Linked DNA regions of Arabidopsis thaliana. The protein of the gene in region 2 interacts with the protein of the main gene of each other region in a pairwise test. Each region holds a gene or a part of one and is shown on either strand. Other genes may lie near its edges. The genes, in order: ATO and AT1G22490.

Region 1 (6,548 bases), on a different chromosome or scaffold from region 2:
CTAGTCATCGAATGAGGCCGTTGGACTGTAAATAAAAAAGGTAAAGCCCATCCCAACTTTTATTTCTTAATTAAAATTTTGGAATATGATTAAGAAAGGAATATTTCATTATTCTTTCCAAAATAGCAAAATGAGATTGTATGTTTAGGTTTTTTGAAAACAAATAAAATTTGAAAGTCTTCGTATATGGACATATATCTGACCAAAATCAAATATCTGTGTATTTTTCAAAAAAAAAAAATATCGTAAATAAATATAATAAAAAAAAATAAAGGTAAACTATGTGATAGCTTACTTTAAAAAATTTGACAGTCGTATGAGGTATTGAGGTTGTATCTGTTTATTTTGATAATTTTTATAAAGTTTGACTCAAATTTTAAGTTTTATCAAAAAAGGAACCAATGATTTGTTAGGAATTGGATAATTAAGGAAATTAAAACATTCCAATTTTGTAAGAATATCAAAGATCAAAAAATTAGTTCAAAATTTGTGAGTACACTATCATCTGAAAACTTTAGTGATTGATTCTTACATGTAGTATCCTATATTAACTCATATCTGTTTCTTGTTATTGAAGTAAAGTCCTCAACTATTCCTTACTAGCATTGTCCATACAAAAACAAATTTTATATCCTCGATTGTGATAGTCAATTCAAAAACATAAACTAAATACTGTTTTAATGAGACGAAACCTCACAAAAAGATGACGAATGGTTTGATTTTACAAAGGCGAAAGGTAGAATATGGTTTAAAGGGATATAGTAAGGAGAGAAGATTTCATCAAGAGGATGTGATCAATCAGATGAGACCTTGGCGTTGAAGATCAGAGTAAGTCTTCTTGTTGTAAATGTTACCTTCACGATCTTCATATTCTTCTTCAAGTTCTGGCCTCCATTTGTTCACTCCTTGCCTCTCCTGTATCCTCTTCCACAATTCTTTGGCTTCCTGAAACAAACCAAACAACAACAAGATCAAATTACCAAACTATTTACTACTTTAAGCTGTACAAAGTCTTTGATCATATTATATTATTACCTCAATCGAAGTGATTTCGTTGAAGTTCTTTGTGTTTGGGATTCCTAGGCAACGCATTCCGTGTTGGTGTCGCCATTCTTTAAAATGTCTCTCAAAAGCCCTTCTTCCCCAATAGCTATAGTTCCCACATATCTCGCATTTAAACTCCTGCGTAATAACAAGAAATTTAATGTGAATCTATGTTCCTTTGATACAACAATGGTCTCATAAATAAACTACATACCTGGCCAAGGCCATGAAGTTTGTAGAGCCAGTATGGTATAGGCTTCCCATCCCAACCTATTGGTAGCTTCAGCGGATTGTAAATCAAACCGTCCTCGTCATCACTTTCTAATTCGGTATTAGCTTCCTCCCCTTCACGTTCTCCCTCCATTTCTTCATATGTCAACGACTGTTTCTTTACAATGTTTTGTTTTGTCCTTTCGATGGTCTATAAAAGGTGACAACAAGAAAAGTTAACAGAAAAAGTACAACTAGATATCTGGGAGGGGGAAAAAAATGTCACTATGAGCTTTCAATCAACTAACCTCATCAAGTAAATTGCAGAGTTTCTTCACTTTGGCCTCTGTTAGTGCAATCTCTTTAGCATTTTCAGACTCATGTGTTGATTTGGCATCTCCGTTTTGTTTTCCGTTGTGTGGAGGTCTGGCAAAATGTTTCTTATCCAGCTTTTCCAAAGGCGTATGCTGTACAAAAATTGAATTAATTAAGGGAATTAGATAACCTCAAGGTAATAAGAAAAGCTTCAAATAGAATTCAATCCCTACAAAACATGAACTATGACAACAAAAGCCTTAGTTTCATATTAGAAGAAGAGCTGAGCTGAACTACCAAACTAGGTTTCATAACAGCTAAATGTTCCTTCCAAACCCAGTAAGAACAACAAGAACGCGGCTACTAATTGATAAAAGTACCCTCTCATAAGACGAAACTTAAAGAAATAGGAGATTATATAGCAAGTGTAAAAACCTTTGTCAGGAAAAGTCTCTCGGCACGCTGCTGCGGAGTACCACCAACCTTCAGTCCTAATGCCCCCAATGCCTGAATGGCATACAAAGAACATATGATTAGGGGAATATGCTTCAAAAAGGATATTAACATGAAGTAGTATGGTCATTACCTCTTTTAGCTTTTCAGGTCCTACATCTACCAGTTCCTCGACTGTACTGTAGTAATCAAGATCTATGACAGTATGCTGAGATGGAATAAGTTCATTATCCAGGCCTTCTACTATTCCATCTGCATATTGCTCTTCAAAATCAGAACAAACCTGTAAAAGAACCAAACATATTAATCGCAACAGATCAAACAATAGGCACAGCATTGGCCAAACTAGAACTACCAGAATGTCAAACTATAACATGGTTCAAAACCTTCCGAGGATATACAATCTCTGCACTTAGAGCAAACTATGCACCAATGAATATTGAATACAACCATCTAGTTATGGCCATTTATTTTCCAAAATTATGTATTATCTCCAGGGGGATGAAAGACTCACAAAGCAACCAGTTGTTAGAACTAAGGAAATCAAATCCAAAGTTCTACACTTAATACTTGGGAAACTAGTAGAAACTTCTTAAGCACGAATAAATATACCAGTTATGTACTAATGCATAGTTCGAAACGCCCATAAAATTTCATAAGGCAACAAGGTAAACGCAATAAAATGATAAAGAAAGGGAGGAGCTTAAACCTTAGAAAGTATCCGGTCAAGATCTTGCAACGGCTCGGTTCGCTGGAAGAAGTAGACCAGGTACTCAAGTAGAGCTTCCATATACTTCATGTATTGCCTAAAATGAAAAATAGCAATACAAAAAGGAAAGCCATTCAGCTGCAGCTAGAAAAATAATTGGAGGCTTTCTAAGTAAAAGAAAATTCCAATGAAGTGTTTACCTCGATAACTTCAGTTTACGCGGTATTTTCTCTGGTTGAGAAAAAACATCAAGGTAAGCAGAATATTCAACCCTTTCCCCAAATTTAGAGTTGATGTACTGGTTATACATATCATGCAAGTCCAAGTACCGACCATTGCCTTCCTGCGTAACAGACAAGAAGATTTAAGTATTGACAATAAAAAAGGGGCTTACAAACTGTTAAAAAATGCGTCAACAAATAGCAACAATAAAAAGTCAAGCAGAAACCTACCTCTCCACTGAACGCAATAATTGGTTCCTCCTTCAGGCGTGCTTCGTAGTCTTCATTAGCATCAACAAGACGTCCAGAAGGATGCCTTTTATGATATTCACGTATCTGTAAGTTTATAAAAGAAGTTAAATAGTTGCAGCTCTGATGCTTTCATCAGTGGTACAAGAAAATCAAATAATTCAGACAATAAAAAAAAAACGAATTAGCAATTTGAATCTTATTCAGGGTGTCCTCATGAAAATTTCACCGCCTTAATACTCTTATGCAAAGCAAGCCTTATACAGCTAACCAAATTGTTGATGGAACAGAACTAATACACTTTCACTGAGATTTTGTACATAATTCTTGATTCTCCATCACAGTGGTTCAAGGCAATCAATAAAACTATTTTTTTTTAAAAGATCAACAGCTAAATAACAATGTCTAGATTAACTAATAGTCCGGTAAAGTTAGCTGCTCAATCTCTAATATACAACCCACAGAAACTAAAGTAAAGCCAAGTCTTGGTATAGAGAACCATAGGCAAGTTTTAGGGAAAAAAGACCAAGGAAGGTGCAAAGGATAAAGAACAAACCTCTTTCAAACGATCGTAAAATTCACTAAACACATTTGTCCCTGTCGCAGTCTGGCCACCAAGCGCTGCAATCTCATCATCCCACGCCCCATCCTTATCTTCATAGGTTTCAACCTTACAACAAACAAGAATCAAGGTTAGCATTAATCCAAGTTTGAGTTAATTATCAACAACAAAAATTAACTCAAATTTGTGAAATAACACTGAAGCATGCTTAGCTCAAAACTTAGAATCCCTACATACACACTTAAGACCCCAACTATAACCTATATTCAACACCAATCTCTGAAGTTTCTTCTCAATTTAACACCCAAGCCAGAGTGATTCAAAGCTAACTTAAACCCCACAATGATAACCTAAAAAGCTAAAGCAATTAACAGAAAAAGAGGCAACACTCAACACGAACCTGTTATTTAAAAAAAAATCAGCAACCCAAGTTTCTCTGCTCTGATCTAACGTATTCAAAAGAGAAGAGACATAAAAACATATGCGGGAAATAGAAAAGAAGATTAAAAATTGACGAGAAGAAGAGAGAAAGCGTACAAGTTTCTCAGTGGTGAGCATAATAGACTCAATCATGTGACGAACACGATGTCCCTGGACCAATCTGTCCTTGCTGGACGGTGGCTCCTTCTGTAGATCTTCCACAACCAATCGCTCCAACCTTTCAACCTCTTCGTGATTGGAGCGAGTTTGCTCGAGGAGAGTCGACGACATTTTCTCTGTCTTCGAAGCTTTGAAATCTCCTTCTTCGCCGGAGTCTAAACCCTAAATTCCAGTCACTTTTCTTTTCCTCAATCCGAAATCTCGCCAGTAAAATTTTTAACGCCAATCCGAGAGAAAAAGATAATCGGGTGGTTTTTGTTGTGGTTTGGGTCGTTTAAGCCGAACTATGTTTTGGGCCTTTTTAGACGGTTTGTGTTTTAGGCCTTTTTTTGACTGTTAGTGTTTTGGGCCTTTTTAGACTCTTTTTTTTCTTTTATATTTTATTATTATTTTACTTATTATAAAAAAATCTATAATATGGTAAAATACCATTTGGTAATTATTTTCTTTTAAGATCTATTCCATTTGGTAATTTATATATTTTTTATCTGATTGCAATCCTCTTTTAATGGGAATACTCAAACATTATGTGTTTGTTTGATATTGTACTATACTTCAATGGGTTCATTTGCAAAGATGTTAACGGAGAGAAGGTTGTACAGAAAAAAAATGGGCAGTTTACAACCATCCACTATGAATGGCTTTGATATTGGTAGCAAACTAACACAAAATCAAGTCATCATTGTCAAAGTTAAAGAGTTAACAAGCCATTTATTCACTCTTTTCAAATTGAATTCATGATATCTCACATGATATAAGATTTGCAAGCTATCTCCTAATAGTATTGAGGTTTGTTGAGATGACATCTTTAATAGATCAATGGAAAGAGCTATATTTGGTTGTTTTCCTCAGGAAAGAGCTATATAGGATGATCATATATTCATATTGAACCAACGATGGGCATTTTGGGGTAAGTATTGCCACCTGACAACAAAATAATAGCCAATCCCATAGACTAATCTTATGACTTCTGATATTGATTTATGTTTGTAAAACCAAAGGAAGATCTCCGAGTGGACATACAAAATTGAAATGTCGTTAACAATTCATATTTGGTATTATTTTTTTTATCTATAAACAATTTTCCATTATTAGTCACTTCCATGTCCAAGCTCAAGAATTCTGTTTCAGGTGTTGTCTTTGAAAGATAGTCCATGCCAACATCGTTTACATATCAGTATATCACTTACTTTACGGCAAACTAAGGCAAACCATATTTCGATTAGTTCATGAGTCGCTAATTGTAACTTAAGGATATCAAGGTTGGAAGTAATTCACTTTGAAACATCACCATTTCGTATGAGTTGATCTTCTTAATAAAAAGATAATAAATACAGAGAAGCAAATGAGAGTTCATCGTAAACACAGCAAACCAAATCAAGAAAACAAAGCAAATATGGTTATTCATTTCAAATGGTGGAATCAGAATATCAATAAGCAAAAACTGGTACATGGTTTGATTCACGTTTGAGTTATATGTTCCTCATTTTCCACTATTCCATCAAACCAAAACAAACAATAAAAACTCAAACAAAACTTTTGAAAAGCGGCGAAGTCAGAGATGTTAAATATGCCTCAAACAGTTTTAAGCTCATAATGAGGAAATTACCCCTCATTCGCACATCTAATTGGTTCATCATTCTCGCCGTTTCATTGCAAAACCAATAAAAACAATGTATCCTACCCGATTATATAGAACGAGATACTAAATGAACGAAATTAAAATCTGAAAATCCTCAAACGCAAAGATCTCTAGCAGATAAAAGAGATAAACACTTATATCTGAAGAGTCAGCGAGAGAGGACCTTAATTCCAGATCTAATGCCGATATAAAAAAACTCGACCTATAATAAATCAGGAAGGTAAAAACTGGGTTAGTTCTTAGGAGAACCCTAATCAAAAACCCTTAATAAATTTCGATTTAGCGCAGCAATGACTCGACACGCTTCCATTAAGCATTTGTGGAAGGCGATCTTAAGGGCTGCGCAACGATTTAAAAAAAAAACGATAAATACGAATAACACGATTTAGAACATAAGCCCTAATATCTAAGAATTGGGGGTTATAATCGAAGATGCATTGTATATATAGTGAAGACTTGTTTTACCCTAGTCGAAGAAGCTTATCCTCGTTTATTGACTATTGGGCTTTAAGCCCATGTTATTTTAAGCCTTATAGGCAAAAC
Region 2 (4,454 bases):
TATATCGAGGTGAAAATAGTTTGATTTCCCACGAATAGTTAGTTATACATGTGTGTTATGGTCGGCTAAATGTTTTTTTTTATAATAAAGATACAACCTTGTATATCAAATTTTTTATTTTCAATTTTATTTTCTTGGGTTACTAGATAGAAAGAATTTGTTTGCATTCAAAGCCAAAGGTATAACCTCCACTATCGTAGGAGCATGCTAAAATTTAGTGATTAACGGATTAAAAGTTGAACCCACAAACTTTAAAAGTTCTAGAAAAAGACGAATTCATCTTTGAAGAAAATAAATTCAAAAATTAATCAATCATACTATTAATCATTATAATTATACACTAAACACAACCCTAAAAACACTGAGAAGTACATTAGGCGTAGGCCTAACGGCTATTAGCGCCCAATGTCACATACTTATCGACTTAAACCATTTTCTTTTATTCAATTTTTTTGTTCAGATCTTTATGACCATTGATTCATTACAAGAGACAAAAATGCAACTTACATAGGGAGGATTAGAGGAATAGTGAAAAAAAAAAAAAATTAGAAAACTGATTTCAGTTATTTCAAAATAAAATAAAAATAAAACAAGTTAATTATAATCTATTTGCTGAATTATGTCTCTTCTTGAATCCTCCTTATGGTTTGATTCAAAGCTGTTGCAATGTCGTCCACGGTATTCAGTTGGCTTCCTTCTTCAACCTGAACCAACACATTTTCTCTTAAGAAATAAAGATATACATAACAATTCTTGAAAAAAGTTGCAACAAACAAAATTAGAAGGATGTAGATAACTATAACAAAATATCTTTCTATTTGCTAAATATCTCCTGAAACAAATGGTGGACTCACTTCGTTGTCCGTACATATCTCATCTACAATTATGTGACCACCGAACATATATCCACAGTACATAAACATATACATAAACATATATAAATACACAACACCACGTATACAATTCGTGGATATAGATAGACACATATTCGTGTTTCGTTTCTTTAGGTTGGTCCCCTGATTCTTACAGGCACGATTAAGATACGCAATTTATTATTGACAAAAATAATAATCAAAATGATGATTATGAGTTTGACCCACAACTATTGAGGCCCCAGCCCTAAGTACCCAAAGGAGGTAAGAAAAAAACAAAGAGAATGATTTTAATTTTTCTTCACAACCTTTTTAAAGCCCAGGCATAACCACAATAGTACTAATCCAAAATTTCCCCCCAACAATAAGAGACAAAAAAATAAATCAACAAAGTGAAACCATATGCACCACACACACAGTCATTACTCACTTTAATCTCATGATTACCCCAAAAGCAAACAAAGTAATGATGAGAAGTTGAAAATGTACGTACCCTGACGCTGATGGAGTAGAGAATGGAGTTGTGGAGAGTGGTGACATTGAGATGAAGAAGAGTGAGCCTTAGGCTTTGTAAAGAAGTTATGAGCTTAAGAAGCTGCCTCGGTTTCTTCTTCGTCATTATCTTGATGTTCGCATGGCTTTCTGCCACCGTAACCTCTATCTCCGCCGGTGAAGATGAGCTTTCCGGTACATCTGATGATGACTTTGTAGAATATTGTGGGAAGCTGAAAAAATCTGTGAATGGACCCACTAACGAGCTAGTGCTAGTCTTGTCTCCTTTGGGATCATGAGTCCTAGTTCTCTTCGGCTCCATAGATTGTAAAATATGCTCTAACTCCTTCACGTAGTTTATAGCTCCTCCTACTATCGACGCTTGATCTCCCTTTACCACCAAAACCCGCTCATGTCAGATCATATAGTTATCATAAAGATTGAAAAAATCTTTGAATGTATAAATATACACACACACGTATCATTGCTAATTGCTTAAGTTTATTACGAAATTGTTCTAAAACATATCCCAATATTCTCAATCATACTCGTTCTAATTTTTGGTGACACATAATATTTTATTTTAAAAAATACATTAAAATATGTAACAGCAAAGATTATTAGTATGTATATAAACGCGTCACCCTTCCATATTTACGGTGGATTTTCTTGTTAATATATTGTATAAAAACATCAATATATATTCTCAGTCATTTTCATTCTATTCTTTTGTGTTAATATATTATGGAGAAATGAGTACTACAGCCAAGCAAGTAATAAAACAAAGACACATATACCTAAGAATGACCCTGACCAAATGATATATAGCATATATAAACATTGAATTAGTAAGTTACTCTTTGAGCATACGACGACGGCATTAGAGAACGGAGCACAGCCAGATACTCGTTCATCTGTTTCCGGCGATTTCTCTCGACGGCGATGTGAGTCATTCTCTGGTTCTCGATCTCTTCCTTGTTCTTGCAGTTTCTCGTTCTCCTCCTCTTCCTCCGGTGCTGTGGAGGAGGATGACTCTCCACATCAATGGCGGTAAGACCAAGCTCTTCTCCCAACGAAGGGATCAACAAAGGATACTGATGATAGTCTCGCCATTGATGATCGTCCTCCTTACCTTGTTCCACAAAGCTCTGTTCATGCCCTAACTTATCAATGTTGTTCTTCGTATCTTGAGCTACGAACTCTTCTTGAGAGTATAAGTCGTGGAACATAAAATCTTTGCAATTGGAGAGATATCCGAATGGATCTTGCGGGTATACGACAGCCTCTAAGGGCATTTTTTAGCCGGAGATTGTTGAAAAGAAAAATTCAGAATTATGGAAAAAATAAGAAAGATTGAGAAACCGAGAGAGGGAGAGAGAAGGAGAGAAAACAAAATTTAGACAGGAAGTGTTTGTCGCTCTCCTTTTTGTCTCGAGGGGGAAATAAAGGCAAAAGGGTTAAGCCCACTAAAGGAAACTAAGCATGGTATTAGTTATATGAAGATTTTTTGTAAATTGATTTACAAAATATTAAATTCTCAAGAACTCACCGGCATGGAGGAAGAATAGGAGAGTGAATCTTCAACAAAAATAAATATACAAAAGAAAGATATGAGAGTGAAAACCGAAATATGAGGATCAAACAAAGTGGTGTGATTTATTTAAAAAGGGAATTGAGAGAAGCTTTGTGAGGCTATTAATTTTTTTTTTTTTTTTTTTGATGCTCTCACAGTTGACCAAAAATAAATGCTCCCGCAGAGATCAAAAACGAAAAGAAAAATAAAACTAAAGAAAAGATGTATTTGTCACCAATATATATATAAAAAACACTGAAAAGGAGATATAAAGTGCACTTGTAATAATCATCCCAATTGTATTTAAATAACTTGTTCATAATAATTAGAGGTTAAGAAAATAAAGAAAAAAATTGTTCATAATGTTTTTAATATAAATTAGTTTTATTATATAGTAATTTTATTATTAAGATGTTAATTGTTTGGAACTATTCCTAAAAACCCATAATCTTTCTTAGTTCAAAATCAAATAAATAATAAATAATTTATTAAGAAATGGTAAAGCTGATATAGTGGGCAGTGAATTTATATTGACGTTCGAGTGAAAGAAAACTGGTGCTGGACTGCTGGTGGTGATCATAACCAGTTAAAACCTCTTTCGAGTTTTTCCGAATATGTATAGTGTAAGGATACACAGATGGTGATGGCTAAACTACTTAAAATTCTAAATATAGCAAAAAATTAATAGAAAAAACAATAGTTCGTTAGTACTAATATGTCATGTTGCGGATTACTTTAACCAAAAAAAAAGTTACGGACTACTTTAACAAATTTTTTTGTTGCGGATTAGCGTTTTCGCCAAAAAAAAATTAAGACGTGCAATTCTACGTCAGTCGGACAAGTGAGTGATACAATAAAACGAAAATGTGAAATTTTCAATTGGACCATAAAAATTCTAAAGCATTATATATATACAGTTACATGCTACTTGTAAACAAAGTTATTTGAGTTTCCAGTTAGGACGGTCTACGCCAATTAATTTTTAGTTCTACGCATTCACATCTGGTAACAATTTTTTTGGTTTGAAAATTAAAATTCTACCAGATATTACCTTAGAATATCTATCCAACTTCGTGGAATTAGATCCATTATCTATGGTTACTAATTACTATTTAGATACATAGATGCATATAGATAAATGTATACATTGCAGCGTCAAGTTTGCACGTGAGATAGTAGTAGACCAGTCCACAAGACCAAATAATCTGTTTGCAGGTTGGGGGTCGTCTAGTTACACTCATGTTCTATTATTTTACTTTAAACAAAAATATAATGTATTTCCATATCAAATATATGGTTAAGTATCCGATTAAAATTAAAAATCTTTAAAACAAATGTTTGTCAGAAAATACACAACCAATAGAAGATTTATTTTGGCCGGTGGGGATCACTTTATGTCAGGTTTTAACAAATTTGTTTCGTGATGTTATTAAAAATATATTTAAATCGAGATATTTACTTGCATGTTATAAAATGATGGTCTATTAAAAATCTTTTGTCACTACTTTTCAACATCA

Evidence for each region.
Region 1: the proteins of AT1G22490 (region 2) and ATO interact in binary tests that used the Arabidopsis thaliana proteins (3 or more experiments, as listed by UniProt).

What each region holds. Positions count from the first base shown.
Region 1 is NC_003076.8:1,861,825-1,868,372, forward strand, and holds ATO (splicing factor-like protein), read right to left. Parts: upstream 4,610-6,548; 5' UTR 4,475-4,609; coding exon 4,301-4,474; intron 3,872-4,300; coding exon 3,758-3,871; intron 3,289-3,757; coding exon 3,184-3,288; intron 3,075-3,183; coding exon 2,932-3,074; intron 2,829-2,931; coding exon 2,732-2,828; intron 2,306-2,731; coding exon 2,156-2,305; intron 2,077-2,155; coding exon 2,005-2,076; intron 1,722-2,004; coding exon 1,563-1,721; intron 1,466-1,562; coding exon 1,259-1,465; intron 1,183-1,258; coding exon 1,036-1,182; intron 946-1,035; coding exon 799-945; 3' UTR 501-798; downstream 1-500. UniProt on the Arabidopsis thaliana protein: Splicing factor homolog to SF3a60 that may be involved in pre-spliceosome formation. Is necessary for gametic cell fate determination.
Region 2 is NC_003070.9:7,937,831-7,942,284, forward strand, and holds AT1G22490 (basic helix-loop-helix (bHLH) DNA-binding superfamily protein), read right to left. Parts: upstream 2,796-4,454; 5' UTR 2,660-2,795; coding exon 2,222-2,659; intron 1,756-2,221; coding exon 1,213-1,755; 3' UTR 767-1,212; downstream 1-766.